Linked DNA regions of Stegostoma tigrinum. The protein of the gene in region 4 interacts with the protein of the main gene of each other region in a pairwise test. Links are inferred from orthologs where the notes say so. Each region holds a gene or a part of one and is shown on either strand. Other genes may lie near its edges. The genes, in order: pop5, txlna, aquaporin FA-CHIP-like and cep44.

Region 1 (7,991 bases), on a different chromosome or scaffold from region 4:
CTTGAAATTCTCCTCCTCTTCCCTCATTCAAGGACTGCTGGCAAGAATACCAGTCTAGCCCAGCTCAACTTTATTCATTCATGGGATGTGGGCAACTTCAGTAGAAGACGCCAGAGTGAGTTGGAAGTTGCACAATTTGTAACTCACTCGTTTCTTCCATTGAAGATTCCCATAAGGAGCGAGTTAGAAATTGCACAATTTCTCATTTCCACAAGTAGATGCTGGTTGTCCACTTGCAGATGTGCACATAATTGAATCTTTTTGTTTTGCACTTTTTCAAACAAACAATGAGATGTACTTTTTCACTGAAATCTGGTATTTAAATCCCTTCAATTTTGTTTTATTATTGTGGACCTTCCATTACAAACCTGCCAGGGATAATGAGCAACAACCAAGTCCAAAGTCACCATGTGCTCGAATGATTGCATCTTTAACTGTTTTATAGATATTCTTCTCCTCGATACAATGCCGAAACTGGGGATTCTCGAACACTATCTCGCATAGCAGGTACCTGTGAATAGAGCAATCCCATTTACTTGGGCATTTGATCGTGTTTTATTTCACGCAACTTTACATCATATTGGCTGACAGCTCATGACTACCGTCAAATCCAGTGCCCTTCCTTGACCATGAAGATTAACCAGACATTTACTTTGTTGGAGGGACACTGCTGACACAAAGCTAAGTTCCTCTAAAAGTTGCTTTTTCAGAATAATCAGCTGTATAAGCACAGGCAATAATGATGCATGCCAGATAGTCCAATTTTCTGAAGAATCATTTACTGATTAAATCAATTTGTGGTGCGATTTAAAGTGACTTATCATCAAGTGATCCATTGACTAATTTTGAAAGGCAGATGTTTAAAGAACTATCTAGGTCATTAGATCTAGGCATTCTGAGCTGTGATCATTCCCCACACTGAATAATCAGTTATTTTTAAAAAAACATCCATTCTTTAAGTCAGCTTGTGTGTGTAGACCAATGAGCCTCTTGCCTAGCAAGTAAGTGTGTACCAGGCTCTCTCCTTACAACTGATTAAGCCAGATCCACAGACACTAATTAGCATGACATTCACTTCATCTCCAAAGCCAGGTTACTGAAGGCCACGTTGTGGCAAAGAAAAACATGTCAGAAGGAAACAAAGCCACCTCAGCTTTGGCCTGGACCTTGTGATTGGGTTGGAAGTAATCCTTTCAGTCCTTAAGAACTTTAAATCAAAAGCAGAAATATCCAAATGCGCACATATCACTCACTTGCAGAAACAACCTTTCACAGCATTATCTTCTCTAGCCTGAAGGAGGCACTTGAGCAACAAGCTCGAGAGGAAATCCTGGCAGTTACTTTAAAGCAGAACAGAGAATGGGGTGAACAGCCTGCTCCCACACCTTATGGTCATGTGTAATTGTTACTCATAATTTAACCTTTAGGGGCTACCTATCATTCTCACATATCTGTCAGTCACAAATCTAACTCTTATCCTAAACAGAGTTTAGATTTTACAACGTGGCCCCAAGAACTGTTCACACAAAGAGCACAGAAACGGGCCATTTAGTCCCACTTGTCCATACCAAACCACAGTCCCAACCTAAGATGCCTATGTGTGGCCCATATCCCTCCAAACATTTCTTATTCATGTACTTATCTAAAATCTCAAACATTGCAACTGTATCCAAATCCACCACTTCTAGAAGTTCACCCACACATTAACTGCTGTTAAAAAAGTTGTCCCCCCCCATATCTTTTTAAAAATCTCTTTCCTCTCACCTTAAAAATATACCAGCACCCTAGCAAAAAGACACACCTTATCTATGCCCCTGATCATTTTAAAACTGTAGGAAGTCACCCCTAAACATCCTACACTCCAGGTGAAAGAATTCCAGCCTATCAGAAGTCTCCCTATAACTCAACGCTTCTTTTCCCAGCAACATTCTGGTAATTATTTTTTTTTGAACCCTCTCCAGCTCGAGAATACACTTTCTATAACAGAGCGACCAGAATTGGACGTAATGCACCAGAAAAGACAAGGCTTTTCTGGTAGACATTCGGATCTTGATATATTCAGCAAGCTCTTGGATACGTGAAAGCATTCGCCGATTCACAGGAGCATCTCTAGTGTTTCCACAGACTTTCTTTAAACACTACAAATTTTCAGAAATAATAAGCAATTCAAAGCACGTCAACATAAATTAAGAAAACAAAGCGTTAATTAGACATTCATGGGGCCTCGACTAATGTATTATAAAAGTGTTCTTGAAATCTAAAGTTGTTGGGCTCAGGCTTTTGAGATACAGGGGTCAGAGAACAGATGATATTAAACCTGGGAGGCTGGCTCTGATGGGGAGCCACGGACCCGAAATATCGACCTGCTACTTGACCCGTTGACATTTTCTGTTCTTCCCCTCGCCCCATAGACTTTGACTCATCAAGAGAGTTCAACGTGTCCATGCATCTTGTCAGTTTGTGGCATCGGACCCAAAATTCAACCCTCACCAGTGAGGCTCTCATCTGGCACAACAGAAACTTAGGTTCCTGAAAACACCCACCACCGGTCGGGAGCTGGGGAAGGGGCGGAGAGAAAGTGCAGCGAACAAAACGAACTGTCTCGAAAAAAAAGACACTGACGGGTCTAGGCCCAAAACGTCAGCTTTTGAGCTCCCGAGATGCTACTTGGCCTGCTGTGTTCATCCAGCCCCACACTTTGTTATCGTAGATTCTCCAGCATCTGCAGTTCCCATTATCTCTGAACACATTAAAGGTCTTTTTGTCACCTATTTTGTCTATTGTAGGGCTGTTACACCTCGTAATTAAAAAAAGTAGGTGGATAGCTAGTCACAGTTGAACTGTCCATGTTTCCCGTAAGAGCATCCCTCCCAGTTTAAAAGTGGAGCGGATCCAAATTACCTGGATTTGAAGCGAACCATTCTCACAGCTTCCTCCCCAGACACAGCACGGCGGCCCTACTCGATACAACGGAAATGTAACATCTCGCTGATTGACAAAGCAATCAGCCAATCATCACAGAGAAAAGGTTGCCGTCGGCATGATTTCACCAATAGACGCAAAGTAGAGGCGGGGCTCCCACGGAACTTCCGGGTATGGGCGGGGTCAATGCCTGCTGCTCCAGTATTAAGCAGCATTGAATGTAGCTGGTGTTGGGGCACGTGTGTTTTTTTTGGGGGTAGTTGGGACATGCACTGCTTGGACTGGAGATAGGCAGACAAATACTGTCTCACAAGAGACCTTCTGTTAGTATCTTAGAGTAGATATTTTTTAATCAACCTGCCCAAACCATTGCATTCAATGTGCAGGAAGGGATCCATAACATTTTTTCGTGTGTACAACTGCTGAGCAGCGACTTCTGTTCCACATTTAACAGTGAACAGCTTTGTACTACGCCACTGCTTGTCTGGTACATGGGTTGCTGTCTTCTTTCTGACAAAGCAGAGTAGCTTAGCAATATGGTATTAGACCTATGACGTGGTTGAACACCACGATGTCGAGGTGTCTATAAACGTAGGTATTTATTTATTTCAGAGATAGTAGGAACTGCAGATGCTGGAGAACCTGAGATAAAAAAAGGTGTAGAGCTGGATGAACACAGCAGGCCAAGTAGCATCGGAGGAGCAGGAAAGCTGATGTTTTGGGCCTGGACCCATCTTCAGATATGGGGTAGGGGGAAGGAGAGATTTTAAAGCTCGTGAAATCCACATTGATACCATTGGGCTGCAGGGTTTCCAAGCGGAATATGAGGTGCTGTTCCTGCAAGAACACCTATGCTTGGTTTGCACTAAACAACTGCACCTCCCAGTCGCAAACCATTTCCACTCCCCCTCCCATTCTTTAGATGACATGCCCATCATGGGCCTCGTGCAGTGCCACAACGATGCCACCTGAAGGTTGCGGAAACAGCACCTTATATTCCACTTGGGAACCCTGCAGCCCATTGGTATCAATGTGGACTTCACAAGCTTCAAAATCTCCTCTTTCACCCTACCGCATCCCAAAACCAGCCCAGCTCGTCCTTGCCTTCCTAACCTGTCCTTCCTCCCACCTATCTCCTCCTCACACCTCAAGCCCCATCCCCATCTCCTACCTACTAACCTCATCCTGTCCCCTTGACCTGTCTGTCCTCCCTGAACTGACTATCTCCTCCCCACCGACTCTCACCTCTACTGGCTCCATCCCCACCTCTTTGACCTGTCATCACCATCTTTCTTCTCTTTTATCCATCTTCTATCTGCCTTCCCCCCCACCTCCCTATTTATTTCAGAATCCTGCCCCTCCCCCCATTTCTGAAGAAGCGTCTCGGCCTGAAACATCAGCTCTCCTGCTCCTCTGATGCTGCTTGGCCTGATCCAGTTCTGCACCTTGTTATCTCTATTTATTTGCTTGATGTCTTATTTCTCCTGCAGGATTGAAACTGACTCTGCACAATAAATTCAGTCTTCATCTCTGATAGAATACTGAACAGTTAAAACATAATTGTACTACAAGGTGTCATCAAAGCACAATTCCATTTTTTAAAAAAAAGTGTGCTGAAAATTCTGGCAGGATCTTTTTGTGCTTAATAGATTATGATGAGGTACTGCTGAAATGGCATTGGAACTGATTGTATAAGAAGAAAACAATTGTGTTGCTTGCCCACCAATGCAGTAAAGATGAGTCAAAGCTCTTCTGTCTGTTTCCAGTGATGGACCATTTCTGCGGATGATCTGGGAGTGAATACACAAATATTTTGGGTATGAAATAAATCTCTAAGGCAGCAAAGATGAAATCTTGAGCTGCAAACAGCAGTTTAATGTGAGATACAGTGTTGGTAAAGAAATTGGAAGTTTGTGTGTGTGTGTGTGTGTGTGTGTGTGTGTGTCTGTGTGAGAGATGATTGGATGCCCAGATGATTAACAACTGCTCTTAAACTGCCAATTGTGTTTGTTAGTGAGGCTGCATGACATTTTAACAGTAAGAATGTGAAATAAAGGAGTAAGAGTCAATCAGGCAGCAAACTGACCTCTCAGTCAATGTGAATGTGGCTAATCTTAAGTTTCAAACTCCACCTTTGTCCACTCCCCATTTCCCACAGTTCACTGAAGCACCAATATATTTCTCTACCTCAACCTTAAATATAGAAATGATGATGTACCACATTTCTCTGAAGTTGAGAATCCCAAAGGTTCACCCTTTGAGTGAAGAATTGTCTCCTCATTTCAGTTCTAATGTTAGCCCCTTAACCTGAAACTATGCCCTCCTGTTCTAGATTTCCCAGATAGGAGAAACAATGTTTCAGTGGGGTCCTCTTGTGGCAAAGTGTTAGCGTCCTTTCCAAGAGGCCCAAGTTCCAGTCCAACCTGCTCCAGAAGTGTACAATAACATGTCTGAGCAGGTTGATTGGGAAAAATAGATTAAACAAATTTGTTAAAAAAAATTAACATCTCAGTATATATCCTATGAGACCCCTTCATCATCCTGAATATTTCAATGAGATCACCTTGCATTCTTTTAAATCCCAGGAATTGTAAGCATTATTTACTCAGACTCGTCCCACGGACCGATTTAGTAAACCTTCGCAGCGTTGCCTCTAATCAAGTGATTCCTTCCTTTGGAAACTAAAATAGTACAATATTACCGAAGCTCTGTACCACTGTAAAATGACACCTTTACTCTTAAACTTCAAACACTTTACCATTGTTATAAAGGTCAACACATCATTTCTTTCCCTAATTGATGGCTGTACCAGAATTCTAACTGCATGTTCCTTGAATGAGTACACCCAAGTTTCTCTGAACTTCAACATATACAAGTTTCACCCCATTTCATGGCCTACTTACGGCTTGCATTCCCAGTTAACATTATATCATCAGCAAGAACAAGAGAGTCATGTATTTAAGTTATTAATAGCAAGTGAACTAACTCTGTTTCTTAATAGCAAGCCACTGAGTAGGAGTAAACCAGTTGCAAAGAATTTCAAATGCTATTTAGAGCCATTTATATTCACTTACTATTGAGCGTTTGAAGAGGTCGCTTGAAGTGTGTCAAGAGAGTTTCCAGGAGGGTCCAGTCTGGGAAATGGTTCAGACCTGATACGTCAGCTTTCCTGCTCCTCTGATGCTGCCTGGCTTGCTGTGCTCATCCAGCTCCACACCTTGTTATCTAAAAGAGTTTCCAAGGTGCTTTTATCAAATCTTCAATATGCTGTTAATATTTGGAAATTCTTTGAAGAATTCACTGAAAGCACGGGAATATCTGGGCAATAGTGACCTTAATATAATGATAGAAGAAGAGATAGGTATAGTGAAAGCCAGATTAGTAGAAGAGAGAAAAGCTGATTTTGAGGGGCTGAGAATGGAACTTGGTAAAATAAAAAGGACAATTATGTTGGCAAATGATGCAGAACAACACTAGGAAACATTAACAAAAGTGTTCAACAGAGTTGAACTGAGAAAATATATTTTACTGAAACCAAGGACAAACTAAACATGACTGTGACTCTGGATAAATGACAATGTAAGAGAACGGATGAAAATATTGAAAAAGGCATCCCTTAGTGATGGAGACAGGGCCCTCTTGGGTGTAGAGATAGTGCCCTGACTCCTGAACCGAGAGACCTGGGTTCAAGTCCCACTTGCTCCAGAGGTGTGTATAAACATCTCTCAACAGGTTGATTAGGGAAAATGGGTTAAACATATAGACAGCAGAGTGGTGCAAGATAAATCAGAAATGGGTTGTGGTAGGAAATTCAGAAGGCAGATATGAACTATTAAATTATCAAAGAGCATGAAATAAGAGTTAAAAAACATTAACAAGTTATTTAGATAACAAGGTGTAGAGCTGGATGAACACAGCAGGCCAAGCAGCATCTTAGAAGCAGAAAAGCTGACGTTTCGGGCCTAGACCCTTCTTCAGAAATGGGGGAGGGTAAGAGGGTTCTGGAATAAATAGGGAAAGAAGGGGTGGCAGATAGAAGATGGGTAGAGGAGAAGATAGGTGGAGAGGAGACAGACAGGTCAAAGAGGTGGGGTTGGAACTAGTAAAGGTGAGAGGAGGTGGGGAGGTAGGGAGGGGATAGGTCGGTCTGGGGAGGACGGACAGGTCAAGGGGGCGGGATAAGGTTAGTAGGTAGGAGATGGGGGTGGGGCTTGAGGTGGGAGGAGGGGATAGGTGGGAGGAAGGACAGGTTAGGGAGGCGGGGACGAGCTGGGCTGGTTTTGGCATGCAGTGGGGGAAGGGAAGATTTTGAAGCTTGTGAAGTCCACATTGATACCATTGGGCTGCAGGGTTCCCAAGTGGAATATGAGTTGCTGTTCCTGCAACCTTCGGGTGGCATCGTTGTGGCACTGAAGGAGGACCATGATGGACATGTCGTCTAAGGAATGGGAGGAGGAGTTGAAATGGTTCGCGACTGGGAGGTGCAGCTGTTTAGTGCAAACCAAGTGTAGGTGTTCTGCAAAGCGATCCCCAAGCCTCCGTTTGGTTTTCCCGATGTAGAGGAGGCCACAACGAGAACAGCGGATGCAGTATACCACATTATCAGATGTGCAGGTGAACATCTGCTTGATGTGGAAAGTCTTCTTAGGGCCTGGAATGGGGGTGAGGGGGGAGGTCTCCCTGACCACTGTCTTCTTTATATCATCAGATTCACAAGCTTAGATATTTACAGGGGATTCCAGTCCAGTTTGTAATGTATTTCTCCCTTTGAAGTCCATCCGTTTAATCCTTCCTTGACCCTTCATTAGGTGTCATGTTATATGATCTCTCTGTCTCTTTCTGTCTCTCACTGTATCCAAACAGTCACTGAATTTAGAGATAATGGGAACTGCAGATGCTGGAGATTCCAAGATAATAAAATGTGAGGCTGGATGAACACAGCAGGCCAAGCAGCATCTCAGGAGCACAAAAGCTGACGTTTCGGGCCTAGACCCTTCATCAGAGCTGAATTTATATGGGCTGTAATCTTGGCTGTATCTGTCCTGTTTTAAACATAAATGTTGGACTTG
Region 2 (7,662 bases), on a different chromosome or scaffold from region 4:
TAGCAGCAGTGTCTACCATCACAAAATGCACTGCAGAAACTCTCAAAAGACCCTAGAAGCACCTTCTAAGCCCACAACCACTTCCATCTACAAGGATAAGAGCAGCAGATACACGGTAACACCACCACCTGAAAGCTCCCCACCAAGTCCTCAACATCCTGACTTGGATATATATCACAGCTCCTTATCTGTCGTTGGGTCAAAATCCTGGAATTTCCTCCCTGATGGCATTATGCTGTCGGTTGACCCATATGAACTGCAGTAATTCAAGAAGGCAGCTCACTACCACCTTCTCAAAGACAACTAGGGATAGACATTAAATGCTGGCCAGCCAGTGACATTCACATCCCAATAATGAATAAAAAGGATTTAGCTAAGGGAACTAAATGTAATATCACCAAATTTTCAGATGACAAAAAACTTAGTAAGAAGGATAACTGCAAGGAGACTGCAGATATGTTTTCTATTTCTTGTTCTGAAGAGTCACTGCACCTGAAATATTTTACTTTGTTTTCTTTTTGCAGATTTTGCCAGGCCTGCTGAGTTTTTCCAGCAATTTCTATTTTTGTCCGAGATTCCTGCTCCCGATGTGGATGACAGCAGAGCAATGGGAAGCTGGAGCAAACTACCATGGCAAGGAGGAACAAGGTGCCATTCAGGATGGAGCAGAAGAGAGAAATGTCATTATAATCAGGGGAACAGACAGTTCTGTGGTCCGATCTAGAGTTCAAGAGGTTGTGTAATCTGCCTGGTGCCCAGGCGCGTGTGTGCGCGCGCGCGTGCGCGTGTGTTTGTGCGCGTGCGCTTGTGCGTGTGCGCGTGCGCTTGTGCGTGTGCGCGTGCGCTTGTGCGTGTGCGTGTGCGCTTGTGCGTGTGCGTGTGCGCGTGTGTTTGTGCGTGTGCGCGTGTGTGTTTGTGCGTGTGCGCGTGTGTGTTTGTGTGTGTGCGCGTGTGTGTTTGTGTGTGTGCGCGTGTGTGTTTGTGTGTGTGCGCGTGTGTGTTTGTGTGTGTGCGCGTGTGTTTGTGTGTGTGCGCGTGTTTGTGTGTGGGGGGGCGTGGAGGAAGAGGAATCCAGTTGTCATGGGCCATGTAGGTATCAATTATATAGGAAGAAAGAGGACAGAAGTTCTGCTGAGGGAATATAAACAGATAAAGGGATAAATTGATTAGCAGAACCAAAACGATAATAATCTCTGGATTACTACCTGACCCATAAACCAATTGACATAGGGTCAACAAAATTCAAGAGGAAACACGAACCTCAAAGATTAGCCCAGGAGAAATGGGTGCAAATTCATGGGACCGTGGCACCAGTGCTGGGGAAGGAGGAAGCTGTTCTGTTAGGATGGGCTCCACCTGAACCATGCTAGGACCAAAGTCCTGGTGAATCACCCAACTAGGGCTGTGGATAGAACTAAACTAAAAAATGCAGGAATAAGTTAAAGTGGGGGGGGGGGTGGTGGAATTTGTCAGCCAAGGTTATTAATTGTTCTGAAAACTTTAAAAGGACAGAGTACAGAAAGGGTCAATAATCTAACTTCAGGCACAGCAGATAAGGATGGGAGCCAGTCAACATAGGACTAAAGGTTTTATATTTAAACACACACAGTGCACAAAACAAAGTCAATGAGCCGGTGGTGCAGATTGAAACTGGCAGGTACCCGAGACACATCTGCAAGGAGATCAGGGCTGAGAACCAAATACCCAAAGATATGTATCCTATTGAAAGGACAAACAGATTGCCAGAAGGGGTGAGGTTGCCTTGGTAGTAAGAAATGAAATTAAATTGATAGCAAAAAGTCATATAAAAGAATCGCAAAGTAGAATCCAGGTAGAGCTGCAGAACTGCAAAGGATAAATGACTGATGGGAGTTACCTACAGGCCTCCTAGCAGTAGTCAGGATATAGGAGAGAAAATAAGGCCATGTGATACATGGAGGTTTGGGGGGGGGGGGTCGTGGAGGGAAGAGACCTGATTGAAACTTACGGAATACTGATAAACCTGGATAGAGTTGACTTGAAAAAGGCATTTCCACTAGTAGGAGAATCTAGGATCTGAGGGCAGGCTCAGATTTAAGGGATGACCCTTTGGAACTGAGATGAGGAATTTTTTTCAGCTGGACAATGATGAATCTGTGGAATTTATTGACACCAGCCGAATGGGTGGTGTTAAGACAGAGACAGCTGAGTTCAAGAGTTACGCGGAAAATACAGGAATGATTGAATGGTGGAGCAGATGTGATGGGCCGAATGCGCATTCTGCTCCTATATCTTAGTCTTGTTATTAGCTAGGAGTATTCATCCAAAATCGTGCCCAAGACGACTGCACGGGGAGAGATAATGGTCGGTAAATCCCATATTTTGTGGGTGGAATGAACTCGATTAATCGAAATGTCCCAAAGGTGTCAGTTACAACCCGTTTGCTGAAAATCAACATATTAATCATATATGCCAAATTGTTACAGACATCAAGGCTGATTTATAGAGAAAGAATTATCTACCGAAAAACCAAGAGTTTAACCTGAAAACTCAGCAGCATTTACCGACGCGAGTTTCAGGGTCAGATTGTTCCGTACAAACACAAATCCCTTTTCAGTGGATATGAACCAAACAGGAGTTTTCAGGACAGCCCGGGAGGCACATATTTCCACATTGTGACGGCGCGGATGCGCAACAAACAGGAAAATCAGCCTCAACCGCGCCGCACGTTGTCGATCCCGGGGCAAAACTCGGCGTTAGCTCGGGATCAGCGCTAAAGTGCGCATCAGATACGGCCTGGGCCCGGCTCAAAACTCCAAGTAAACCCCGGCGTTAACCACGGTCTCGGTTAACAGCTTTGGGCCTCCGTGAGGTAAATCAGAGACGGGGGAGGAAGTCCACCGCACACTCACCCTCCCACACACAAGGTACACCACGGATCCGCGACTTTCCTCAGGTTCCAGCGACGCGACCACTCAGTCCGTCCGGATTCGCACCCGCACTAACCGGAAGTGCGCCGGCGTCTTCCTAACAGCATCACCAGTGACCGCCAGGCGAATAACCAATCGGCTTTCAGAAGAGTGCTTCCGGCTATGCGTGGAAGTTGTCGCGCAGACCTTCGGGTAATGTAGATTGGCAGGTACCTAGTTTTGAGGGAATCGATTGTTCCCAAAATGCACTTTGACCAGAAACAAAAATATTCTGAAAGGTGTAGCACAGACAGTAGGAACTGCCGCTGCTGGAGAATCTGAGATAACCAGGTGTAGTGTCAGAGATGATGGAGAATTCCAAGATAATAAAATGTGAGGCTGGATGAACACAGCAGGCCAAGCAGCATCTCAGGAGCACAAAAGCTGACGTTTCGGGCCTAGACCCTTCATCAGAGAGGGGGATGGGGAGAGGGAACTGGAATAAATAGGGAGAGAGGGGGAGGCGGACCGAAGATGGAGAGTAAAGAAGATAGGTGGGGAGGAGAGTATAGGTGGGGAGGTAGGGAGGGGATAGGTCAGTCCAGGGAAGACGGACAGGTCAAGGAGGTGGGATGAGGTTAGTAGGTAGCTGGGGGTGCGGCTTGGGGTGGGAGGAAGGGATGGGTGAGAGGAAGAACAGGTTAGGGAGGCAGAGACAGGTTGGACTGGTTTTGGGATGCAGTGGGTGGGGGGGAAGAGCTGGGCTGGTTGTGTGGTGCAGTGGGGGAAGGGGACGAACTGGGCTGGTTTAGGGATGCAGTTGGGGAAGGGGAGATTTTGAAACTGGTGAAGTCCATATTGATACCATTCGGCTGCAGGGTTCACAAGCGGAATATGAGTTGCTGGTCCTGCAACCTTCGGGTGGCATCATTGTGGCACTGCAGGAGGCCCATGATGGACATGTCATCAAGAGAATGGGAGGGGGAGTGGAAATGGTTTGCGACTGGGAGGTGCAGTTGTTTGTTGCGAACTGAGCGGAGGTGTTCTGCAAAGCGGTCTCCAAGCCTCCGCTTGGTTTCCCCAATATAGAGGAAGCCGCACCGGGTACAGTGGATGCAGTATACCACATTGGCAGATGTGCAGGTGAACCTCTGCTTAATGTGGAATGTCATCTTGGGTCCTGGGATGGGGGTGAGGGAGGAGGTGTGGGGACAAGTGTAGCATTTCCTGCGGTTGCAGGGGAAGGTGCCGGGTGTGATGGGGTTGGAGGGCAGTGTGGAGCGAACAAAGGAGTCACGGAGAGAGTGGTCTCTCCGGAAAGCAGACAGGGGTGGGGATGGAAAAATGTCTTGGGTGGTGGGGTCGGATTGTAAATGGCGGAAGTGTCGGAGGATGATGCGTTGTATCCGGAGGTTGGTAGGGTGGTTTTCAAGCCCACCGACTCCCACAGCTACCTAGAATACACCTCCTCCCACCCACCCTCCTGCAAAAATTCCATCCCCTCTGCCCAATTCCTCCGCCTCCGCCGCATCTGCTCCCACGATAAGACATTCCACTCCCGCACATCCCAGATGTCCAAGTTCTTTAAGGACCGCAACTTTCCCCCCACAGTGATCGAGAACGCCCTTGACCGCGTCTCCCGTATTTCCCGCAACACATCCCTCACACCCCGCCCCCGCCACAACCGCCCTAAGAGGATCCCCCTTGTTCTCACACACTACCCTACCAACCTCCGGATACAACGCATCATCCTCTGACACTTCCGCCATTTACAATCCGACCCCACCACCCAAGACATTTTTCCATCCCCACCCCTGTCTGCTTTCCGGAGAGACCACTCTCTCCGTGACTCCCTTGTTCGCTCCACACTGCCCTCCAACCCCACCACACCCGGCACCTTCCCCTGCAACCGCAGGAAATGCTACACTTGTCCCCACACCTCCTCCCTCACCCCTATCCCAGGCCCCAAGATGACATTCCACATTAAGCAGAGGTTCACCTGCACATCTGCCAATGTGGTATACTGCATCCACTGTACCCGGTGCGGCTTCCTCTACATTGGGGAAACGAAGCGGAGGCTTGGGGACCGCTTTGCAGAACACTTCTGCTCAGTTCGCAACAAACAACTGCACCTCCCAGTCGCAAACCATTTCCACTCCCCCTCCCATTCTCTTGATGACATGTCCATCATGGGCCTCCTGCACTGCCACAATGATGCCACCCGAAGGTTGTAGGAACAGCAACTCATATTCCGCCTGGGAACCCTGCAGCCATATGGTATCAATGTGGACTTCACCAGTTTCAAAATCTCCCCTTCCCCTACTGCATCCCTAAACCAGCCCAGTTCGTCCCCTCCCCCCACTGCACCACACAACCAGCCCAGCTCTTCCCCCCCCACCCACTGCATCCCAAAACCAGTCCAACCTGTCTCTGCCTCCCGAACCGGTTCTTCCTCTCACCCATCCCTTCCTCCCACCCCAAGCCGCACCCCCATCTACCTACTAACCTCATCCCACCTCCTTGACCTGTCCGTCTTCCCTGGACTGACCTATCCCCTCCCTACCTCCTCACCAAACCTCTCTCCACCTATCTTCTTTACTCTCCATCTTCGGTCCGCCTCCCCCTCTCTCCCTATTTATTCCAGTTCCCTCACCCCATCCCCCTCTCTGATGAAGGGTCTAGGCCCGAAACGTCAGCTTTTGTGCTCCTGAGATGCTGCTTGGCCTGCTGTGTTCATCCATGTCCACACCTTGTTACATTCTGAAAGGTCACTGGATCAGAAATGTTAACTCTGTATCTCTGTCCATAGATAAGGTTCACTAACAGTTTCTGTTATTGTTTCCGACTTCAAACAATTACAGTTTTTTTCAGTCAGAAGCTGGGAAGGTGCGGCTAGGACTCGAGGTTGCGGCTAAAGGGGAAGGATCCAGTGAATGGGTGGGGGGGGCTGGGCAAAAGCCGGACGGGAGAAGGGGTGGAGCGACAGAGGGGGCGGGGCGCGAAGGGGGTGGGGCTCCAACATAATACTTTGCCTTCAGGGTGAAGGGACATTTTGTTCCCTGCCTGTAAGCTGCGTGTTCGCCTCAGTCAGGTTCCCTCTCCAGCTTTCTGTGCTCTAAAGAAAACATCCCCTTGTGTCTGAGATAATGGGAACTGCAGATGCTGGAGAATCCAAGACAACAAAACTGTGGAGCTAAATGAACACAGCAGGACAAGCAGCATCTTAGGAGCACAAAAGCTGACAGTAATCAAGCTGTAGCTAAACCAACATTGTATACACCTCCTTCAGCTTGTATTCAACGCAGACATTAATAAACGCAATGTAGGAACAAATTATTGCAGTTGCTGAAATCCATGCTGAGCAAAAATGTTGGAGATCACAACTGGTTGGGTAGCATCCATGGAGAGAGAAAATAACCTAATATTTTAAGTGTGAGGCCTTGTTTAGAACCTGGCTGTGTATCAATTTGGAGTCAGATGATGTTATTTCTAAAGCAGGAATTTATAAAATACAATACGGATTGTCTGCAATTTCTGTGCTTTTTGAGCAAAAAAAATGTATCTACAATTATAAATGTGCAAGTGCAAATCAGAGGCTGATAGCTATGTTCAGTGTCCACGAGGACAGCCTCAACCGGGATCTTGGGTACATTTCACACTACAAGTGACCCCAACACACTATACTCTATATATACACACACACACACACACACACACACACACACACACAAAAAAAATCACATACACACAATCACATACTCACACAGACAATCACATAAACACACACATGCACAATCACATACATGCACAGAAGATCACATACACACATATACACAATTACACACCCAATCTCACACACAAAATCACATACCCACACACAATCACATACCCACACAGACAATCACATACACACACACAATTACATACACAAACACGCACATGCAGAAAATCACATACACACACAATCACACGCACATGCAGTTACACACAATCACATACACACATAATCACATACACACACACACAATCACACACACAAACACAATGTTCTATGTTCTATACACAATCTCTCTCACACACACACACTCAATCACATACACACACAACCACATACATACACACAATCACACAGACAATCACATACACGCACACAAACACACAATCACATAAACATACACACGCACACAGATAATTACATAGATATATACACACACACACGCACACGCACAGACAATCACATACACACATACACAGTTCTATACAGTTGTATAGGACTTTGATTCAACCATATTTAGAATACTGCATACAGTTCTGGTCGCCACATTACCAAAAGGATGTGGATGCTTTGGAGAAGGTGCAGAAGGGAGGTTCACCAGGATGTTGCCTGGTATGGAGGTCACTAGCTATGAAGAGAGATTGAGTAGATTAGGACTATTCACATTAGAAAGACAGAGGTTGAGGGGGCCCTGATTGAGGTCTACAAAAACATGAGGGGTATAGACAGGGTGGATAGCAAGAAGCTTTTTCCCCAGAGTGGGGGATTCAATTACTGGGGTCACGATTTCAAGGTGAGAGGGGAAAACCTGAAGGGAGACATGCGTGGAAAGTTCTTTACACAGAGGGTGGTGGGTGCCAGGAACGTGTTGCCAGCGGAGGTGGTAGAGGCGGGCATGATAGCGTCATTTAAGATGTATCTAGACAGATTCATGAATCATACACACACTATCACATACATACACACACAATCACACACACAAACATAATCACATACACA
Region 3 (7,908 bases), on a different chromosome or scaffold from region 4:
TGTAGATTAGCATCTACATCTGAATGTTAAATGGTATTTATGTAACAGCGTAACATGGTGAATCCTGCCTTAAACTTCCACCTCATACAGGGACGGGGTGGGGTTCCTGAGATTGACAGGCTGAGGTTACAAGTATCTGGGGGAATGAAGTTGCAGGGTCAACTGGCAAAACCGGCAAGGGTTTTATTTTGTGGAAGATATCTTTCAAAGCACTGGCCCGGCTGCTCCGTTTGACAAGCGATGCTTCAGAGGAGGTGGTTCCAAACAGCACTGTACCGACCACACGTCAGATTCTCAGTAGTTCCCCTTTCTTTAATAAATGTTTATGCAATGGAGTTACTTTGATGCAAAGTCCGCAAAAACCATTGTTGCAAATATCGAACAAATTCTCCACTTTCTTCGGCTACAGGTACCGTTCGATAGAATCACGTTTCTTTTCTTAAAAGGGCAATGTCCAACTTTAAAACCCATGGCTAAATCCGCGTGTTGATAGAATAACGGTATTATCTGGCACTGTCGGTCATCAGTTCACCACCACCCCCCCCCCCCCCCTCGCCACCACATCCCATCTCTTCCCCCCTCCCCCCCAACCTCTTCCTCTCTCCCTCCTTCTTGATGCAATCTTAACAGAAATTCAACTGAAGCAACCCTGGGGGCAAGACGATTATTTGAAGGGAAATGGTGTGCGAGGAAAAGGCGGTAGATTGGCTCAAGGTAATGGAGCTTTTCTGAAGAGCGAGTGTCAGCACAGCGGGCCGAATGGCCTCCTTCTGCACTGTTAACAATTCCATGATTCATGGTGGGGCCCACAAGTTCAAGATATTTTAAGTTCCCCATTTTAAAGCTGTGAGCCGAGAGGATTTTGTTCAGGACGTAAGAACCCGGAGCAGGAGTAGGCCATTCAGCCCCTCGACCCTGCTCCACCATTTCACAGAATCATGGCTGATCTCATCTCAACGTCACCTCTACTTTCCTGCCCGCTCTCCTTAACCCTTCAACCCATTATTGGTTAGGAATATGTCTTTGTCTTCCTCCAATGTACTCAACCCCACAACATCCACCACACCCTGGGGGAGTGAATTCCACAGATTCATGACCCTTTAGTCTCAAATAAAGCTTGATCTTGCTAACATTGATCTCGCCTAGGGCACGCCCTTATGCAATGTAATCTGTGAGCCTACACCTTTTTGATCTGTACATCCTTTGTTTACTATGAACTGCCTGTATCGCTCGTAAACAAAACTTTTCACTGTATTTTGTGACAATAAATAAATCAATCAAATCTCTGAGAGAAGTAATTTGTCTGTGTTTCTGTTTTGAATTTGCTAGCTTTTATCCTAAAATCTTGAGCTCTTGTTCCAGATTGCCCCAAATGAGAGAACATCCTCTCTACATTGACATTTTTCAATCCCCTTTGGCATCTTACTTACCTCAGTTAGATTTCCTCTCATTTCTGCTAAATTCCACGGAATATCAGCCTAAACTCATAGTCATGCAGTACACAAGATGCCCCTGACCCCAGTGAGTCTGCACAAACCAGACTACACTAATCCTGCTTTCTCGTCCTCGGCCCCTAGCCTTAAAAGTTAAAACATTTTAAGCGCTCATCCAAGAAGTTTGTAAAGGTTGTGAAGTCTCCTGCCTCATCTCCTCTCCAACACAGTGCGTCCCACATCCCCACCACAGCTATTCCTCAAATCCCATTCCCTTCACCTCAAAATGACACCCCACACACCCCCCACCACCACCTTCGATATTGACTCTCCAAGTTTCAAATCTGCCCAATTGCTTTTTATGAGTCCAGCCCGTCATCTCCAGAATGAAACTCCCTCCCTCAGGATTGCAGCAGTTCAGAAAGGCAGCTCAGCATGCCCTTCTTAGGGTGGCACGATGGCTCAGCAGTTAGCACTGCTGTCTCACAGCGTCAGGGACCCGGGTTCAGTTCCACCCTCGGGCGACTGTCTGTGTGGAGTTTGCACTTTCTCTCTGTGTCTGCATGGGTTTCCTCTCACAGACCAAAGACGTGCAGGTCAGGATGGATTGGCCACGCTAAATGGTCCATAGTGTTCAGGGATGTGTAGACTGGGTGGATTAGCCATGGGAAATGCAGTATTACAGGGGTGGGTCAGTGTGGACTCGATAGGCCAAATGGCCTGCTCCCAGACTGCGGGGATTCTGTGAATGGTGGTTATCTTAGCAAGCCAAATGATGAGTGGCTTAGACGTTATAGGGATAGGGTAGAGTCTGAATGAGATGCTCTTTGGAGGAACGGTGTGGACTTGATGGGGTGAACAGTCTCTTTCTGCCCTATAAGGATTGTGTGATTCTCAAAGGCAACTAGGGACAGGCAGTGAATAGTAGCCCAGCTAAGTGAATAAAGAAAATACACTGCATCCAATTAAGTAAGTTAAGAGAGCAACATTACGACAACGAGAGACTCTCCAGCCCAGCCCCTGTCTCTCTCTCTCTCTCTCTTTCTGTGGTCCCCACCAGCTCCCAGGGTGCTATTTACCGCTTTAAGAAGGGTAAGGTACTTACAGCGTTGAGTCCGAGGGTGCTGTTCCTGGATGAGGGGGTGAGCCCCAGAAGCAGAGCGCTGGCGGCTACCGAGCCCAGGAGCTGCGAGGCGATGTAGAGGATAGCCCGCAGCAAACTGACCTGGCAGCCGGCTAACAGCCCCAGGGTCACCGCTGGGTTCAGGTGCCCCCCGCTCAAGTGCCCGATGCTCTGCGCCATGGTGGCAATGGTCAAGCCGAAGGTCAGGGAGATCTGCACGATGTCGGCTGGGTATCCTCTGGGGGTCCACTTGGTGGCCGAGCCAGTGCTCAGGAAAACAAAGATGGTCATTCCCAGGAATTCGGCCAGCACTGCCTTCCAAAAGGAGCGGCGCTGTAACTCCCTGACCATCCTCAATGTGCCCCAAAATCACCCAGGAAAGGGCTCAAACTCTTCTGCCACCAAGCCCCCACCCAACCACCCTCCTTTTTAAATCCACCCTTATTTCCCACCCCTCACCCCCAAAACCGTGCGCGCAGATGCAAAGCAAAGTTTAGTTTGGAAGTGGATCAGGCGAGGCAGTTTTATAGAGGAGGTCTCCTGGGGGTGGCGACGAAAAGGCGTTTCTAAGTGCTGCTCTCGAACATTGCACGCTGGCGAGGCTGTTCCCAGCAAGAGGGACTGCGCCGTCTCCGGCATTGCTAGCAATTCTGAAACAGACCCAAGGAGATTGCTGGAGAAACTCAGCAAGCCTGGCAGCATCCGTGGAGAGAGAGGAGCAGAGTTTTTCGTTTTAGTTCAGTGACACTTCTTGCTGTTCGGACTCCACTGGTGCTCTGGAGTCACTCAAGCACAGAAACAGACCCTTCGGTCCAACTCGTCCGTCCGGACCAGATAACCAAAATTCATCTAGTCCCATTTGCCTGCATATCCCTCTAAACCCTTCCTATTGATTGAAACATAGGACCCCTACACTGTGGAAGCAGGCCATTCAGCCCTTCGAGTTCTCATCATTCCTCCAAAGAGCATCCCACCCAAACCCATTTCCCTGTAACGGCCCATTCCCCATGGCCAACCCACCAACTCTGCACATCTCTGACCATTGCAGGCACCTTAGCATGGCCAGTCCACCCTAACCTGTACATCTTTGGACAATGGGAGGAAACCCACGCGGACACGGGGAAAACGTGTGAACTCCACACAGACAGTCACCCGAGGGTGGAAGTGAATCGAGGTCCCTGGCACTGTGAGGCAGCAGTGCTAACCACTGAGCCACCGTGCCACCCACGTACCCATCCAGATGCCTTTTAAATGTTGTCACTGTACCAGCCTCCACCACTTCCTCGGGCAACTCGTTCCATACACACACCACCCTCTGTGTGAAAAAGTTACCCCTGAGGTCCCTTTTAAGTATTTCCCCTCTCACCTTAAACTTATGCCCCTCTAGTTTTGGACTCCCCCCACCCTGGGGAAAAGACACTGGCTATTTACCTCTCATGATTTTATGAACCTTTATGACACCACCCCTAAGCCTACAATGCTCCAGGGAGAATAGCTCCAGCCCCATTTGGCTTCTCCCTACAACTCAAACTCTCCAATTTGACAACATCCATGTAAATCTTTTCTGAACCCTTTCAAGTTTAACAACATCCTTCACAAAGCAGGGAGACCACAACTGAACACAGTATTCCAAAAGAGGCTTAACCATTGTCCTGTACAGCTGCTACGTGCCCTCCCAATTCCTATACTCAACGCACTGTTCTTTTGCACTATCTACCCCATCCCAATCTTCATGCTCTCCCGGCCCAGTGTTTACCTTTCAAGCAACAGAAGCAGCAGTTCAATCTGCAGCACTTCTATGGGATCTGGCTGTGCACAGACATGGATTGGCATGGATAGACTAATCCCACCTGTCTACATGTGACCCCATCCCCCTATTCCATGCTTGTGTCTGTCTAAATGCCTCTTAAACGTTGCTATCATATTCACATATCTGAAATGCAACATTGATTTTTTGCTTGGAGCAGAATGTTGAAGAAGCTACCCTGGGAACAGGCTCTGTCAGATCTAGTAATGTGGTAGGATAAGTACGAGACCTGTGGTTAAGGATTCTATAGGGCATAGTGATCAAAGCCTGGGAGAATTTCATAATTCAGTTTGATGGAGAGCAAGTCTGGTCTCAACCCAGTATCCTCATCTCAAAAGCAGGCAATTACAGAATTATCTAAAGCATGCTGCAAAAATAGACAAAGAAATGGTCAGTGGTTGAGAAGATGAGATATTTGTACAATGCTCAGCAAATATTTTTTCCAGTGAAAAAGAGGACTCTGATGAGAAGATTGAAACACCCATCGTTAAAAAAAATTCAAAAATAGTGCCCAATCGAAATCTAAAGCATACAACGCAGTGAAAATTTGTGATAGGACAGGCAATTAATTTTTTTGAGTCAACCTCTGCTAGTTCCTAAAGAAGGTAAGAAGGGGGAAGTTGATTACAAAATAAATTTTTAAGAAATATAAAAATAGCCTCTAAGGGTGTACAAAAAGAAAGGGAGTAGCTAAAGTAGGCGTAAGACCCATGGATTATATAAATTAATAATGGGGAACAGAAAAACAGCAGATAAACGAACATTTTGCATTGGTCTTCACAGTAGAGGCCAATATAAACAACTCATAAGCAAAGTGCGAATGGGTGGAAAGATTTTGAAACCATGTCTATCACTATGAACAGAAATATAACAAACTGATTAGACAGGTGCCCAGGTCCTGACAGCCTTCATCCAAGGGTTTTAAAAGAAGGGACTGCAGAGGTAGTGAAGGCATTGGTCACAATATTCCCGAACACTCCGCATTCTTGGGTGGGGGGGGGAAACGGGGATTTCCAGCTGTTAGATCACTGGTCATGTGACCCACCCGTTCAAGAAGGGAGCGAGACAGAAAGTAGGAAATTATGGGCTAATTAGGTGTCACTGAGAAAATGCCAAGTCCATTATTCAGGAAGAAATAGCATGACATTTAGAAGAGCTTAATGTGATCAGACATGATTGACATGATTCTGTGAAAGGGAAATCATGTTTGACAAGATTGTTTTAGTTCCTTGAGGATAAAACAAGCAGAGCTAATGAAGGGAAGCTAGTAGATTGTCTTTCTAAAAAGCATTTGATAAAGTGCCACATAAAGGTCGCTGCACAAGATAGGAGCTTGTGGCATTAGGGGTAACATATCAGCATGGATTTGGGATAGGTTAAAACATAAAAGACAGAGATAATGGGAACTGCAGATGCTGGAGAATTCCAAGATAATAAAGTGTGGAGCTGGATGAACACAGCAGGCCAAGCAGCATCCCAGGAGCACAAAAGCTGACGTTTCGGGCCTAGACCCTTCACCAGAAAAAGGTTTTCTTATAAAGGGTCTAGGCCCGAAACGTCAGATGTTGTGCCCCTAAGATGCTGTTTGGCCTGCTGTGTTCATCCCGCTCCACACCTTGTCATAAAAGACAGAGTCAGGATTAGTGGGTCTTTCTCAGGTTAGAGAGAGTTTTATGCTCTTTATTTATGATCTATATTAGTGACTTAGAAGAAGGATAGGCTGTGCAATACACAAACAGAAATTGCCGGAAAAGCTCAGCAGTTAAAGAGGGCCCATTGGATAATCTAGTCTGGGCTGAAACAACCACCTAACCATTCCAATCCCATTTTCCAGCATTTGGCCCGTAGCCCTGCAAGCCTTGGTATTGAAAGTGCACACCTAAATAAATCCTCAATGTTATGAGGATTTCTGCTTCCACAATAGGCACTGAGTTCCAGATTCTCACCATCCTTGGTGGGTTGATGCCCCCCGATCACTGATCCCTCAGTCAAGAGGTAACATTTCTTCCTGTTTATGTACCTTATAGTTTTATATGTCACAACCATCTCCCCATTCAGTCTTCTCCAAGGCAAGCAACCCTATTTCTGTGTGAGGTCATGATGCAGATATTCAAAAGACAGATGATTTTTTCAGTGGAGGGAGACTCAAGAAAGCTGCAGCGCAGTGGGATCTGGGTGTTCTTGTGAATGTATCACAACAGGTTAAACACGGAAGTATAGCAGGTCATGAAGAAGGTAAATGGAATTTTGTCCTTTATTGCCAGACGGTTAGAGTTTAAATTGAGAGAAGTCCTGTTACAACTGGAGATCGTATTAGTGAGACGTGGCACTGTGTACAGTTTGGACCCTGTATTTAGGAAAGGATAAACCAGCATTGAAAGCTGCCTGAGAGAGATTCACAAGACTGTTTCCTGAGATGAAGGGGTTGACTTATCAAGAACAGCTTAACAGTTAGGCTTTGAGTCATTAGCATTTGGAAGAATGAGGAAGAAAACATACAAAATTCTAAGAGGGCTTGACAAGGTAGGTGTTGGGAAGATGTTGGAGGATCTCAAACTGGTATTAAAGTAGTGAGACTGCCTCTCTGTGTAAGTCATTCATTACAGACTCAATTCAAGTCCAGTATTATCTTGGAGTCTACAACAGTCATAGATTAATAAAAACCAAAAGAACTGCGGATGCTGTAAATCAGGAACAAAAACAAAGTTGCTGGAAAAGCTCAGCAGGTCTGGCAGCATCTGTGAAGGAGAAAACAGAGTTAATGTTTCAAGATAACAAAGTGTGAAACTGGATGAACACAGCAGGCCAAGCAGCATCTCAGGAGCACAAAAGCTGACGTTTCGGGCCGAGACCCCTCATCAGAGAGTAGGTGACTCTTCCTCTGTTCTGAGTTGCCAAGTTCTGAGGAAGGGTCACTGGACCCGAAACGTTAACTCTGTTTTCTCCTCCACAGATGCTGCCAGACCTGCTGAGCTTTTCCAGCAACTTCGTTTTTGTTCCCGTCATAGATTAATCTCCGGGACCACTACTGCAAGCAACACACAGTGTTGGTAGCCTAGCGTGATATCTGAGGACAGATTCAAATCCGGACATGGCAGCTGGTGGAAATTAAATTCAAGTAATTAACAAATGTAATTAATAATTTGGGAACTGACTACTTGTCTCAGTGCAGGTAATTCAGAAACAAAAATTCTTCATGGGTCGAAATCTGCTATTTCTGACTGAGATGATGAGAAATGTCCCCGCTCAGGTGCTGGTGAACCTGAGGAATTCTCTACCACACTCCATACATTAAAGAATTAAATATATTTCTAGAGACTAAGGCAAATAGACAAGGTCTTATCCCCAGGGGCAGGGGAGTTCAAAACTAGAGGGTATAGGTTTAAGGTGAGAGGGGAAAGATTTAAAAGGGACCTAAGATGTAACCTTTTTCACACAGAGGGTGGTGTGTGTATGGAATGAGCTGCCAGAGGAAGTGGTGGAGGCCGGTACAGTTACAACATTTAAAAGGCATCTGGATGGGTACATGAATAGGAAGGTTTTAC
Region 4 (7,870 bases):
CCACTTGATGTTTCATTATGGTCATCTTTAATCTGCATAAAGATTGCGCAAATCAAAATAGTAACAATATCATACAGGAGGAATTCCTGGATGGTATATAGGATGGTTTTCTGGACCAATATATTAAGGACCTAACAGAAAACATCCTGATATTATCCAATGAAAAAGGAATAATTGGCAATCTAGCTGTCCGAGGCCCCATGTGGCTGAATGACCACAATAAATTTGTGTTCTTTATCAAAATAGAGAGTGATGTAGTTGATTTTGGTTCTCGGGTCCAGAAGCTAAATAGAGAAAATTATGATAGTAAAAGGCATGAGGTTGCTGTGACATTAGATTGAAGACGTTGCTTAAAAGGGTGAGGGCGGTAAAGCAACAGCAAATATAAACAAACCATATGGGTGAACTGCAACTGTTATTCATTCATATCTGTTGCAAAAGTAAAATGGGAAAGGTGGCCAAATCATGGTTTACAAAGGAAATTACAGGTAGCATTAGATCCAAAGACAAGACAAAAATTGGCCAGAGACCTCAGGTTTGGGAGCATTTAGAATTCAGCAAACGAGGGCACAGGGATTGATTCAGAAAGGGAAAATAGGGTTTGAGATGAGCTTGTGGGGAATATAAAAACTAACTATAAACGTTTCTATAGTTATTTGAAGAGAAGAGAAAAGATAAGTGAAGACAACCATATCTCACTTACAATAAGAAACAGTGGGATTCATAATGGAGGACAAGGAAACGGCTGATCAACTAAAAACAGTCTGTTTTCACAAAGGAAGACAGAGTATAGCATCAACCAGAAATGCTGGGAAACACAGATTAATGAGGGAGAAAGTGAAGGAAATTAGTACTAGTAGGGAAATGGTGTTGCAGAAATTGATGATTAAAAGCAGATAAAATCCCAGGATCCGATATTCTATATCCCAGAGTACATATGGAAGTGGCCTTGGAAAGAGTGAATGCATTGGTGGTCATCTTCCAAAATTCTATAGACTATGTAACAGGTTGTACAGATTAGAGGGTAGCTAAGATAATTCTCCTGTTCAAAAAGGAAGACAAAGGGAAATCAGGATTAATGGGCCAATCAGTCTGACGTTGGTCATGGCGAAGTGTTAGATTCCACCACAAAAATCACAATAGATGAACACTTTGAAAACAGTGACAGGATCATACAACATTGATTTACGAAAAGGAAATCATGCTTGACATATTTGGGATTTTTTGAGAATGTGACTCTTGAATTGATGAAGGGGAGCCAATGGAGGTGTTTTATTTGGACTTTCAGGAGGTAATCAACAAAGAGTCATATGGACTCGAAACATTAGTTTCCTTTATCTCCATGGATGCTGCCTGACCTGCTATGATTTCCAGCACTTTTTGTTTTCAGTGATTAAAGCAGTACTTTTCTTCCCTTTTTAAGACAGTCTCTCAGTATTGAAGATTACTTGTTCCCATTCTCGCTCAAATGGTTTCTGCAATAGTTTGTCGGAGTTTGCAAATTCATGCACATGTTTGCAATAAAGCATCAATATGTTTGATGACAACTCGAATGAACAATCAGCATTTGGTTTGATTCAAGAGATTATGGGAGTGGGAAAATGGGGTTGGAGAGCAGGACTTTGATTCAGGAGCAATAGAGACTAAGGCAGCTGACGGAGTGGCATTGGATAATGGAGCTATGATCAGAAAGCATGAGGGGCTGGGGGAGATAGGGAAATAGAGTTAGATAGCAGTATTTGACAACGGACGTGGGAAATTCAGTTAGAAATCGGGGCTGTTATCTGAGGATATGAGGAAATGGGATCAGAGAGCAGGGCTCGGACCCAGGGAAACAGGGTTACAAGTCAGGGTTCGAATTGTGTCAGAGGGCAGACTCTATACAGGAAGAGACAAAGTTGTGTTACAGGACAAGACTGATAGAGAGACAATGAAGAATGTAAAAGATGTGGAAATGGGGTTACAGAACAGGGCCTTGCCCTGGGAATGGGGAAATAGAGTCGGACGGCAGGGAGCTACCCTGAAGATGGGGGGTCAGGAAGAAGAATTAAAGCCCTGGGAGATGGAATCAAAGAGTCGGGGGCAGCTGGGGTCTCACTCTAGAGTGGGGTGGGGCAAAGTTAAACTGATTAGGGTCAGTATGACGGAGGCTATGGTTATAGGCAGTCAGGGCACCATGGTGAGTGTTGAGGATAACCTGAACCGGGCACTGGGTTTATCGGTAAGCTGACCGAACTCTCTCACCTGCCGGCCTGGCTTTCGTCTTCCCCGACTCGACTTTGAAGTTGTTATCGAACGGTCCGTGGGTTGCTAGATCAGTCCAACGTGCGCTTCTTAGGGGAGCAGTAGGTCGGTTTGAATTTGATTGACAGGTTTCTCTCTCTCTCTGTATCCCCGCGGGTCTGCAGCGGGCGCCTCGCGCGCTCGGTTTGAATTTGATTGACAGGTTTCCCCCTAACGGCCTCCTGGCTGCTTTCCTCACCGTTCCGGCTTCTTCTCCGTCTGCCAGTCGATCCATTAGCTCTCCGTTCCGCCCCGCATATTCGCCAGCGTACAACGTCTCTGTCTCTCTCTCTCTCTCTCTCTCGCTCTCGGTTTTAGACAGAGGCAACAGCCGTTCTTTCTTAAAAAAAAACACGGTTCTTCCTCCTCTCCTCGCAATTAACAAAAACGACCTGTTACACTTTGCCGATATTGGAGGATGCCTTTTTTTCCCTCCATTGATGGAATCTGCCCCTGCGTCTTCAAAAATAGGGATCTCACTATGGCACCAAGTTGCATTTATAGCCAACATTCAATGCCAACATAGCCAGCGACAAGGAATCTCATAGGAAAATAAACGTGGTCAAAAAGTTAATCCTGAAGGCGATGCGGAGACAGGAATCTGGCATATTAATACACAAATCACTGAATGTGGATTGAGAAAATGGTTAATAAAGCTCAGCAGATCCTTAACACTTTACCTGACCAATATATTCGGTCATCTGCCCTTTTCGAATGGAAAAAAAAACTGCGAATGCTGGAGATTGGAAACGTAAAGAGAAATTGCTGGGAAAAACTCAGGTCTGGCAGTATCTGGGAAGAAAGCAGAGTGAACGATTCACGCCGAAACTTGCATTTTTATAGCACCTTCTGTCAAGAATTTGTCAAGATTGCTTTACAGCCAATGACGTTATTTTTGGAGTGGAGTCATTGTTGCAATTTCAGGAGTGTGGAAGTAATTTGTTCACAATAGTTCTACAAACAGCAATATGATAATACACGAATAGAGCTATACAGCATTGGAAAGACCCTTCGGTCCAACTCATCCATGACAGGCAGATATCCTGAATTAATCTAGTCCCAGTTGCCAGTATTTGACCATATGTCGCTAAACCCTTTGTGTACCCATCCAGATGCCTTTTAAATGTTGCAATTGAACCAGCCACCACCACTTCCTCTGGCAGTTCAGTCCAGACATGTACCATCCTCTACATGAAAAAATTGCTGATTAGGTTCCTTTTAGATCCTTTGCAACTCACCTTAAATCTTTGCCCTCTAGTTTTGGACCACCCAACGCTGTGGAAAATACCTTAGCTCTTCACCCTATCTATGCCCCTCATGACTTCATAAACTTCTTTGAGGTCACCTCTCAACCTCCTATGCTCTAGGGACAACAGTCCCAGCCTATTCAGCCTCAACCCATAGCTCAAAGCCTCCATCCCTGGCAACATGCTTCTAAATATTTTCTGGATCCTTCCAAGTTTCACAACAGCCTTCCTATAGCAGGGAGACCAGAATTGAACTCATTATTCCAAAGTGTCCTAAGTAATATCCTATAAAGCCACAACATGACGTCCCAACTCCCATACTCAATGCACTGACCAGTAAAGGCAAGCATACCAAATGCCTTTTTCATTATCCAGTCTACCTGCAACTCTGCCTTCAAGGAACTAGGAGTAGGCACTAAGATAGCAAGCTGTAGAGCTAGATGAACACAGCAGGCCAAGCAGCATTAGAGGAGCAGGAAGGCTGATGTTTCGGGCTGAGACTCTTCTTCAGAAATGGGGAAGAGGAAGGGGGTTCTGAAGTAATTAGGGAGAGGCAGATAGAAGATGGATAGTTGTTTCGTGCGAACTGAGTGTAGGTGTTCCTTGGAGGCTTGGGGACCGCTTTGCAGAACACCTACACTTGATTCACACTAAACAACTGCACCTCCCAGTCGCGAACCATTTCAACTCCCCCTCCCATTCTTCAGACAACGTGTCCATCCTGGGCCTCCTGCAGTGCCACAACGATGCCACCCGAAGGTTGCAGGAACAGCACCTCATATTCCACTTGGGAACCCTGCAGCCCAATGGTACCAATAGGGACTTCACAAGCTTCAAAGTCTCCCCTCCCCCTACTGCAACCCAAATCCAGCACAGCTTGTCCCCGCCTTCCTCCCACCTATCCCCTCCTCCCACCTCCAACTCCTACCTACTAACCTCATCCCGACCCCTTGACCTGTTCATCCTCCCTGGACTGACCTATGTCCTCCCTACCTCCCCACCTACACTCACCTTTACTGGCTCCATCCTCACCTCTTTGACCTGTCTGTCTCCTCTCCACCTATCTTCTCTATCCGTCCCTCCCTCTCTCCCTACTTATTTCAGAACCCCCTTCCCCAGCCCATTTTTGAAGAAGGGTCTAGGCCCGAAATATCAGCCTTCCTGCTCCTCTGATGCTGCTTGGCCTGCTGTGTTCATCCAGCTCTACACCTTGTTATCTCAGATTCTCCAGTGCCTGCAGTTCCTACTATCTATGAATATGCACTCCAAGGTTTCTTTGCTCAGCAACACTCCGTAGGACCTATTAAGTGTATAAGTTCTCCCTTGATTTGACTTTCTAAAATTCAGCACCTTGGCCCACCAGCCCATCAAGGCCCTGTTGTATTCTGAAGGAACCTTTGGACAAATGATCTTTTTAGTGATGTTAATTTTGGATTAAAATGCCTGAGGCACTAGGAGTAAGGTCCCAGAGATAATGGGAACTGCAGATGTTGGAGAATCCGAGATAACAAAGTGTGAAGCTGGATGAACACAACAGGCCAAGCAGCATCTTAGGAGCACAAAAGCTGACGTTTCGGGCGTAGACCCTTCATCATTGAGGGGGATGGGGAGAGGGTTCTGAAATAAATAGGGAGAGAGGGGGAGGCGGACCAAAAATGGATAGAGGAGAAGATAAGTGGAGAGGAGAGTATAGGTGGGGAGGTAGGGAGGCGATAGGTTAGTCTGGGAAGGACGGACAAGTCAAGGAGGCGGGATGAGGTTAATAGGTAGGAAATGAAAGTGCAGCTTGAGGTGGGAGGAAGGTATAGGTGAGAGGAAGAACAGGTTAGGGAGGCGGGGACAATCTGGGCTGGAGTAAGTCGCCCACTCCTTTTCAAAATACTGTTAATACTTCAAAAAACACCTTTACCGGCTCCATCCCCGCCTCTTTGACCTGTCTGTCTCCTCTCCGCCTATCTTCTCCTCTATCCATCTTCTATCCGCCTCTCTCTCTCTCCCTATTTGTTTCAGAACCTCCTTCCCTGCCCCCATTTCTGAAGAAGGGTCTAGGCTGAAATTCTCCTGCTCCTCTGATGCTGCTTGGCCTGCTATGTCAATCCAGCTCTACACCTTGTTATCTCATCTTTAACATCAATCTCATTAGAGTCATACAGGACAGAAAAGGTCCTTTGGCCCCTTGAGTCTGCACTGACAAAAACATTACATGAATGCAAATCTTAGTTAAAAATGCAGTCCCTGAAAATTTTGTATTCGAGGGTTAAATAAATATTTAGAATTTCAATTCGCACGTCTCAAGATCCAGGGTCAGAATTCAGAACAAGTTGAAGTGAGGACTCCAGGGCACTTTATTTTACACAGAGTTCTTATCTATGGATGTTGCAGGCCTGATTTCAGCTGGGTTAATCTCAGTAAGGGCAAACTGAGACTCTTAACTGGCCCCTAATTATCCACTCTAGGGGCCTCAATTAACAATGGCATGGACAAGTCTACCATGGACATTCCCACCTTGAACCTAATCCCAATGAAGGAACATGGAATGTCATGTTTGTATTTGGTACCGTGGAAACAAATTGAATGATCTCATCAACTTCAAGCTCACCACCTCCAGAAGACAAGACTTTATCCAATGTTTATGGCCTGTGCCTTGAAACTTTTCCACTCCACAGACGTACCTCGACCTTCTGAGTATTTCCAACATTTTTTATTTTGTGTTCTGCATATCTAGTGCCTGCTTAGGATTGGTGGTGAATCATTTTCACTCATTGCGCAATGAGTGCACAAATGCACCCAGAGGGAGTAGGCAGTCGGTTTCATAATAAAAAAACGTACAGAGAACTACATAACCAGAAAATTATTCATTCGCGGGATGTGCATGTCCCTGGCAAAGCCACCATTTATTGCCCATCCGTTATTGCTTCTCAGAACATGATGGTGGTAATTATTTGGATGAGAGTATAGAAGGCATGGTTAGTAAGTTTGTGGATTACATCAAAATTCGTGCCTAATAGATGTTGAAAAAGGTTTTCTAAGATTACAAAGGGAACTCGATCAAACAGGTCAATGGGATGAAAAATGGCAGATGGATTTCAATCTGGCGAAATGTAATGTATATGAATTTTGGTACAAAAAATAAAGGTAGGGCTTATACAATTAATGGTGGGGTCTTGGATAGTGTTGTAGAACAGAGGGATCTAGGCATTCAGGTACGTAATTCTTTGAAGTTTGCGTCACATATAGACAGGGTGGTTAAAAGGCTTTTGGCACACATGCCTTCATCGCTCAGTCCTTTGATTTGGGAAGTTACTTTGAGCTTGTATAGGACATTGATGAGGCTTCTTCTGGAATATTGCGCCCAATTTGCAGTTTTTTAGATTGCCAAGCCAGTTTTCTGTGGTGTACAGACATTTCATTACCATAGGCAACATCATCAGTTCAGCCTCTCATCGAAGCATTGGTGTTCTGCTTCTTTCTGGATTTATATGATCTTCTGATGTGATGATCTTGTCACTGCCAGTTCTGTTGTTTTAGCAGCGGTCTGTATTTGGGGTTTATTTCTATGTGTTTGTTAATGGAGTCCCATGTTGAGAATCAGACTTCCAGAAGTTCCTTTCCATGTCTGCTGTTCGCTTGTACCCATATGGTCACTTTGTCCTAGTTGATCTGATGGTCCTCACTGTATTGAGACAGATCATTATTCGTTGTATCTTTTTACTGCTAGCTAGTGTCCATTTATGCTGGTCATCAGTTTCTTCCCTGTTTGTCCAACATAATGTTTTTTGCACTCGCTGCATGGTCTTCTGTGTATCACATTGGTCTTATTTACTGTCAGTATGGGGTCTTTACAGATCAGTGGCACACCGATTGGATCACCTATCTCAGGTCTCATCGCGGAAGCAGTGATGCAGAGATTGGAACACACAGTCCTTCCTAAAATCTAACTGAAAATGTGGATAAAATACATGGACAGCCCATTTGTAATAATCAAACACACAAAAGTAGAAGAAGCCCACCGACTTGTTAACATCTTTGCAAACATAAATTTTGTAAGAGAGAAAGGAAACAACAAACAGCCCCCGTTCTTAGATGTAATGGTAGAGACATTGACAAACAGCAAATTCTGGTCCCAACTATACAGGAAGGCCACATACACAAACCAGATCCTTAACTTCAATAGCAACCACCCTAACATTCACAAACAGAGCTGCATCAAGACACTATTTAAACAAGCTGCATCACACTGCAACACCCCAACACTCCAGAAAATGGAAGAGGAACACCCACACAAAGTTTTCACCGACAATGGTTACCCAAGAGGTTTTGTCAGGTGATGCCTACAAAAC

The links.
Region 1: the proteins of cep44 (region 4) and pop5 interact in binary tests that used the Homo sapiens proteins (3 or more experiments, as listed by UniProt). The two-hybrid records come from large-scale screens. The link is inferred for Stegostoma tigrinum from reciprocal best matches to the Homo sapiens genes CEP44 and POP5.
Region 2: the proteins of cep44 (region 4) and txlna interact in binary tests that used the Homo sapiens proteins (3 or more experiments, as listed by UniProt). The two-hybrid records come from large-scale screens. The link is inferred for Stegostoma tigrinum from reciprocal best matches to the Homo sapiens genes CEP44 and TXLNA.
Region 3: the proteins of cep44 (region 4) and aquaporin FA-CHIP-like interact in binary tests that used the Homo sapiens proteins (3 or more experiments, as listed by UniProt). The link is inferred for Stegostoma tigrinum from reciprocal best matches to the Homo sapiens genes CEP44 and AQP1.

The regions. Positions count from the first base shown.
Region 1 is NC_081379.1:39,187,466-39,195,456, reverse strand, and holds the start of pop5 (ribonuclease P/MRP protein subunit POP5), read right to left. Parts: upstream 3,010-7,991; 5' UTR 2,922-3,009; coding exon 2,902-2,921; intron 512-2,901; coding exon 369-511; intron 1-368. UniProt on the Homo sapiens protein: Component of ribonuclease P, a protein complex that generates mature tRNA molecules by cleaving their 5'-ends. Also a component of the MRP ribonuclease complex, which cleaves pre-rRNA sequences.
Region 2 is NC_081377.1:47,670,318-47,677,979, forward strand, and holds the start of txlna (alpha-taxilin), read right to left. Parts: upstream 3,005-7,662; 5' UTR 2,892-3,004; intron 1-2,891. UniProt on the Homo sapiens protein: May be involved in intracellular vesicle traffic and potentially in calcium-dependent exocytosis in neuroendocrine cells.
Region 3 is NC_081355.1:152,719,390-152,727,297, forward strand, and holds the start of aquaporin FA-CHIP-like, read right to left. Parts: upstream 3,018-7,908; 5' UTR 2,908-3,017; coding exon 2,539-2,907; intron 1-2,538. UniProt on the Homo sapiens protein: Forms a water channel that facilitates the transport of water across cell membranes, playing a crucial role in water homeostasis in various tissues.
Region 4 is NC_081356.1:123,312,485-123,320,354, forward strand, and holds the start of cep44 (centrosomal protein of 44 kDa), read right to left. Parts: upstream 3,009-7,870; 5' UTR 2,245-3,008; intron 1-2,244. UniProt on the Homo sapiens protein: Centriole-enriched microtubule-binding protein involved in centriole biogenesis. In collaboration with CEP295 and POC1B, is required for the centriole-to-centrosome conversion by ensuring the formation of bona fide centriole wall.